2 linked regions of the Canis lupus familiaris genome follow. The protein of the gene in region 1 interacts with the protein of each later gene in a biochemical or structural test. Links are inferred from orthologs where the notes say so. Each region holds a gene or a part of one and is shown in the gene's direction. Other genes may lie near its edges.

What was found.
Region 2: the proteins of MC4R (region 1) and POMC form a complex in vitro, tested with the Homo sapiens proteins (2 studies listed by BioGRID). The link is inferred for Canis lupus familiaris from reciprocal best matches to the Homo sapiens genes MC4R and POMC.

What each region holds. Positions count from the first base shown.
Region 1 is NC_049222.1:16,213,111-16,216,031, forward strand, and holds MC4R (melanocortin receptor 4), read left to right. Parts: upstream 1-1,310; coding exon 1,311-2,309; downstream 2,310-2,921.
Region 2 is NC_049238.1:19,500,736-19,505,069, reverse strand, and holds the start of POMC (pro-opiomelanocortin), read left to right. Parts: upstream 1-1,440; 5' UTR 1,441-1,599; intron 1,600-4,334.

The sequences.
Region 1 (2,921 bases):
AATATGTATAATATTTTGTTATATCAGTTGTATGTCAATAAAGCTTAAAGACTGAGTTTTGCCCAATTATTGATCTTTTTCCTTTTGAGAGCAGAGTAAATATAGTTTATACTATCACCATATGGCTTCTAAATATCATGAATGAGAATAAAACTTTCCCAGCCATGATAACAGAAACTCTGCAGTGGAGAATTATCAGCTATTAGTGCACAAAAAAAGAAAACAAAACAAACAAACAAACAAAAAAATGAACCCCGTCTAGAATCCTTGGATAAACTGTAGCTACCTACATCAGTTCTCCCATCCGGAGCACAGTGTACCTGTATTATCAGATATTCTCCCTGTCTTTCAGGTATTGGAAATTGAAGCATTATTTCCTGGATTCTTAATTCAAACAAATTGAGAGTAAACAAATTCAATATCCTGACCAAAAAGGCAGCGTGTCTATTTCAGGAACATAAGCACACAAATGCCTGCGTGGGCACACACGCGCACACACACACACACAGAGAAACACAAGTGTCTCTCTTTGAAGCAGAAATAAAGCTGGGGGAGCCTGGCTTGTTGTGTTATCAAGGAACAGTCTCCAGGGACCAAGTTGTTTTCCTTGAAAACTTGGCAAGGAGAATCCAGTCTCTCTCATCCTGCTTGCTTCCCCCAATTCCACAAGCTTCTGCATCTGGATCCGTGTTGCCCTGCAATTTGTATCTGGAATATCAGCCGTGCCTCACAGACTTCCAGTGCGTTTGGATTGGTCAGGAGGAAGCAGAGGAGGAGCCACTCTGAACATTTTTTTTTCTTCCCCTCCCCACACCATAAAATCAGCAGCAGCCACTAACACTCAGAGCAATGCTTCGGGTTGGGAACTAAGACCGTGGGGAGGCAGCTGATGCGAACATGTGCACGCAGATTCAGCTCCTGGTGGCTCGGCGGCAACTCGGAGAATTACTTGCAACAGACCTCACTGAATGCCCTAGACTAAAGTTAAGGTGGGAGTGAGGACAAAAAAAAAAAGAAAAAGAAAAAAGAAAAAAAGAAAAAAAGAAAAAGCAAAGAGCAGACTCTTTGAACTAAGAATGAGCATTTCAGAAATCGAAGATGTTACAGTGAAGGTGATCGGAGCTGTACCTGGAAGACAGTAAGAGCTCCACTGCCAGCCTTTTGGAGCACGGGACAGGTACTCAACACCTGGCAGGCCAGCTGGATCCTCAGAACTTTGGGACGCACGGAGAGGGGGAGAACATCACCGGGGCTCCCTGGCTGGAGAGGCCGAATCAGTCCCGAGGGGGTCTGCATACACTTGTTGCAGGATGAACTCCACCCTTCAGCACGGAATGCACACTTCTCTCCACTTCTGGAACCGCAGCACCTACGGACAGCACGGCAACGCCACTGAGTCCCTTGGCAAAGGCTACCCCGACGGGGGATGCTACGAGCAACTCTTCGTCTCCCCGGAGGTGTTCGTGACTCTGGGGGTCATAAGCTTGCTGGAGAACATTCTGGTGATCGTGGCAATAGCCAAGAACAAGAATCTGCACTCACCCATGTACTTTTTCATCTGTAGCCTGGCTGTGGCCGATATGCTGGTGAGCGTTTCCAACGGGTCAGAGACCATCGTCATCACCCTGTTGAACAGTACGGATACGGACGCGCAGAGTTTCACGGTGAATATTGATAATGTCATTGACTCGGTGATCTGTAGCTCCTTGCTCGCCTCGATTTGCAGCCTGCTCTCAATTGCAGTGGACAGGTACTTTACTATCTTTTATGCCCTCCAGTACCATAACATCATGACGGTGAGGCGGGTTGGGATCATCATCAGTTGCATCTGGGCGGCTTGCACGGTGTCAGGCATCTTGTTCATCATTTACTCGGACAGTACTGCTGTCATCATCTGCCTCATCACCATGTTCTTCACCATGCTGGCCCTCATGGCTTCTCTCTACGTCCACATGTTCCTCATGGCCAGACTGCACATCAAGAGAATCGCCGTCCTCCCGGGCACCGGCACCATCCGCCAAGGGGCCAACATGAAGGGTGCCATTACCTTGACCATACTCATTGGGGTCTTCGTCGTCTGCTGGGCTCCATTCTTCCTCCACTTGATATTCTACATCTCTTGTCCCCAGAATCCATACTGTGTGTGCTTCATGTCTCACTTTAACTTGTACCTCATTCTGATCATGTGTAACTCCATCATCGACCCTCTCATTTATGCACTCCGGAGCCAAGAGCTGAGGAAAACCTTCAAAGAGATCATCTGTTGCTATCCTCTGGGTGGCCTTTGTGACTTGTCTAGCAGATACTAGCTGGGGACAGAGGAAGTACTAAAAACATGCACCAGAGACTTCTTCATCCTCACACAACATGAACTGTGTGCTTGGACAACAGCTGCTTCTTCAGTATAAGGCAGGAGTTGAGAATATCTGTTGCACAAATTCAACTTTATGATGTTTTGATGTGAAAAAAAAAATGCCCAGGCTCTGTACATTGCTAATGTCATGCTACTTTTGGGCTGTGCATTGTTAATCCATTTCGACGCTGTAGACACTTTGAATTTCTAGAAAAGAAAAAAGCTTCCATTAAAAGCATATCAGTGTTTCTTGTTATTCACGAGGATTTGGCACTTTGCTTGCTTTAGGAAACATAGAAATCATAGAATCATTAACTATGTAGCCTGATAAGTAACTTCTTATATTATACTATATCACATGAAATGTGCAGATTTGAATGTAGCATGGGGGGTGGATATTGAACAATAGATACTTGGTCATTAAAACAATCAACTGAAATTTTAAGTAATAAAATGTGTTCATTCTCCCTGTTGCAGAAATAGAAATGAAGCTTCTGTTGAGAGAAAAACAGCTTAAACACACACACACACACACACACACACACACACACACGAGATTTTAAGCCAT
Region 2 (4,334 bases), on another chromosome or scaffold:
CTATTCATTCTATATTCCATTAAGAAAATGTCATTATAAGAAATCTCTCAAGAAGATGTAAAACATCAGACTGGGGAAAAAGCAATAAAGTATCTGACTAAGGAAAAAGTCTCTTAAGGAAATAATATTGGAGGGGGACCTGGGTGGCTCAGTGGTTGAGCGTCTGCCTTTGGCTCAGGTCATAATCCTGGGGTCCTGGGATGGAGTCCTGCATCGGGCTCCCTGCAGGGAGCTTGCTTCTCCCTCTGCCTGTGTCTCTGCCACTCTCTCTGTGTCTCTCATGAATAAATAAAATAAATAGAACTTAAAAAAAAAAAGGAAAAAGGAATGTTGTGGATGGTTGAAGTGCCAGGATGTAAGATGGACAGGTGGGAAGTGACCCTTGAGACTCAGGGCAAGGTCAAGTGATAAACAATCTTGTTTACTGTTTAGGAGTTTAGATTTCTCCTGTATCCCAAAAGGAAAGGATTGTGGACTATAAAGCCAATGTCACCAACCAAGAATTCTCACAGGAGTGTTGGAGTCCGAAAGAACATCTGACTGGGAATAAAGAAAGCTGCAATTGGCAGACTAAAATGAGCGCATAAATAAATAAACAAACAAACAAACAAATAAATAAATAAAACAAGCACCTTGATCTGAAGTTCAGTTTTGTTCTAACACTCCCTCCCACCCCCGCCCCTCACAATTTGTTTCTTCTTTACTCCAGGTTAAGGTAGACCATAGGGAAAGTACTTCAGCTGTTCTCCATAGAGCACCCCATTCCCCTCCCCATTAGTAGTAGAAGGTTAACAGCACCTTTTCCTTGGGGTCTGGAGCACAGGAAGGAGCCTGCTCTGGCCTAGGCCCCAGGAGCGGCAGTGCAACTTGCCTTCACACCTCCAAGAAGGCAACCTTCCCTGGGCCTCAGGTGAGTGACCCCTGACCTTTTCTGCTCCCCTCCCTACCTCCCTGGTTCCCACCAACCTACTCTGCTAACCTGAGGCAGAGGGATTGTGATTCCCCATGACATCTTCACCACAGTTTCCAAAGGATGGGGAAATCTGAGGCATTACAGACACACTCCCCTTTGTGGAATATTTACCTCCAAGTGTGAACGAGGCAGATGCCAGACCAAGCACGCACACAAGTAACTTCACCCTCTCCTCAAAGACCTCAGCCAGCGCTCCAGGCCTACCCCACACCGGGGTGCTAAGCCACCTGCTCGTCCTAACTGGAGACCCAACACCATCCTTAATTAAGTTCTCTCCTGATAGCTGCCAGGTGCACCCTTCAGCAGGACAGTGTTAATTCCAGCCTGCGGGGTAGAGACCCGGCCCCCTTTCCGGGCACTTCTGCCCTTTCTCTAGCCCCTACCTGGAAACCTCCCTCCTGAGCCCTATGGCCCCCCTTCTCACGGTCGGGGGAGTTGCTTGTTACGCTGCCAGGAAGTTCACGTCCGTTGCCCACCCGGGCGAGCCCCGCAGGTATATAAGGACCGAGGAGAGCGACTCGGACCAGGCGGCGGCGGAGGAGAAAGAAGAAAAGTGACCTGAGGAGGCCGCCGAGCATCCTCGCCCAGCGCAGCGGGAGTCGCCCAGAGCGCAGCCTCTGCAACAGGTAAGGGCGCAGCGGCGCCGAACCTCGCTCTTACCCCGAAACCCCCTGCCCCTGGGCCTCGGGATGATCTCGCCCGGCTCCGATCGCTGACTTGAGGCGCCTTTGGCTCGCTGCGGTCCTGAGTTCCTTGAAAACTTTCTGTCCTGAATGCGGCGCGGGAAGCCTCGGGATGGTGGGCGAGCGGCTGCGACGCTGAAAGCGGTCCCTTCCAGGAGCCGGCGGCCGTGTCTTTCCCGGGGAGTCGGGCTGCTAGGACCCCTGAGACTCCTACCGCCTTCTGGGGGGAGATCTCGGTAAAGCCCTGTCTTTTGGTTCCTCTTCCTCTCGATTTTCTTTTCTTAAAAGATACCATATGCTGTAGAGCAAATTAACGTTGGAAATGAGAGCAAGAGAACAAAGGCTAGAAGTTACAATAAAATCCCTGCATTCCAGACTTCTTTGGATTCAGACCCCTGAATCCTCCTTTCTCTGCCCACTTTAGGGCACCTGAGGTGTCTGGATGCAGATGCGGGTCTCTAAGACCCAACTGGGGTTAAAAAGAGGTGTCCCCGTGTGGGAACTGTCCAAGGTTCTGAACACCCTGTGGGTGCCCTCAATAGGACCGCAGAGTGGACCTCTATCCTGAAGACCCTAGATTGCAGGGTGGAAACAACCCTTTGAGCTGTTGGAGGCTTAGTTGATGGAGATTTCCAATGAAGGAGGAAGAGTCTGCAGGGCATTTGGATCCCCCCAATTTTTCGTGTATAAATGGAAAGGTGGTGATTCTCACAGACGGCTGGAAGAAGCCAAGGAAAGTACAAGTGCATTTATTTTGTCACTTGTGAACATTTGCACAGATTAAACCTTATTTAATGACTTAATATTCCTTTGGCACTTTTGTTTTAGGACTTGATGCACGTGTGTCATGGTGAAAGGAGAAAACTCTGCACCTCTGCTCCTCTAATCTTTACAGAAGGGCATGACCAGTGTGCAGTTTTAGACTGACAAACAATATTTTGTTTAGCTCAAAGAGAATTTGCCTACACATATGAAGTTCTCATAAAAGTAGTTCTGTTTAAAGTTAATGTCAAGATTAGTAAATCATAAATTTCTATTTATTTTCCCAAGGCTTTCAATTATTAAATTATATATAACACTATCCCTACCTACAAAAGCACAATATCTGACATTTCTTCGTTACTTTATTGCTTGTAAAAAATGACACAAGATAATATTTGTTCATTATAGAAAAATAGAAAATACACATAAGCAAAAAGAAATCAAGTTGCTTTCAGGAAACTGACTTTTTAGCAGTAGAATGGAACTCTGAGAGGGAGGGCAGTGTGAATGTTATTATGTTGTACGACACAGCCAGTGCAGTAGAGAGAGGAGAAATGCTCTCTGGGGCTTCTCAGGAAGGCCTGAAATCATGAGGTAGGTTTTAAGAAAATGGAAATCATCCCAGAATGGCCAGCCTTGAGGAGAATTGAAGTATAATTGAAGTGACTGGCAGATCTGTATGATTTTACTTTTTCTCTACTAATGTTATTTTACACTTGCCCACGGTGATATGTAATGACCATTTTTCTGCCTCTCTTGTAAATCTCACATTTTTCTGACCCAGATGTTTGTATAATCTCAGAGCTTTTTTTTTATTATTAAGATTTTATTTATTTGACACACACACAGAGCACAAGCCGGGGGAGTGGCAGAGAGAGGCAGAGGGAGAAACAGGATCCCTGCTCAGAACCTTGAGATTATGACCTGAGCCAGATGCTTAACAGACTGAACCACCCAGGCACCCCATCAGAGCTTTAATTTAAATTGCTTTGCCCACCAAGTTTGGGCTCCAATTTTGAACTGGAGCATCAAAATGCTACAGTGGGGGCAGCCTACCCCTGGTCAAGACTTAGACATCAAGGGGCACCTGGGTGGCTCAGTGGTGGAACATCTGCCTTCGGCTCAGGGTGTGATCCTGGGTCCAAGGATCGAGTCCCACATCGGGCTCCCTGCGGGGAGTCTGCTTCTCCCTCTGCTTATGTCTCTGCCTTTCTCTCTGTGTCTCTCATGAATAAATAAATAAAATCTTAAAAAAAAAAAACAAGACTGGACATCAAGGTTGATCAAATGCTCTCCTGGTTGCCCCTTCAGCCAGCTGACTGGCTGCCAGCGCCACCTAATGGCTGTTCTGAAGACACTCAGGTTGTGCCTGGCAATCATTCAAGAAGGGAGCCCAGAGCTGGCTTAGCTTTGGGGGGAAGGAGTGGGGGTGGGACAAAGAAAAGGAAATGGCTTTCTGAACTAGACAATGAGAGCCAGGGAGAACTTTCATTTCCAAAGCCTTCTCTATAAAAAAGATTTGCCCCCCTCCCCTCCACGAATAGGAGATTTCTTTTAGGCAAACATTTACAAATGCAAATGTCCATTAGGACAGATAAGAAAATTAGTCATCCACACCTTAATGTGAATTACTCTTCTCATCTAATTAGATTTCTTTCTGCAGTTGGTTGAGAAGTTCTTCTGAAATGTAAAATGATTGTGGGTTGGTTGTGAGCTAATCACAAAAGAAGCTGACCTGGGTGAGGGGGGAAATGACCATGGGAGAGGTGGAAGGCTGGGGAAAGTGTGGGGCGCAGGGGCGAAGGGCTGCATCACCGCTCCCTTCTTTACTGCATCCTGACCTCTTGACTTCAGCTTCTGCTGGGAGGTGCTTTCTGACTTCTCCAAAAGTGTCTTTGGTGGGTGTTCACAATGGG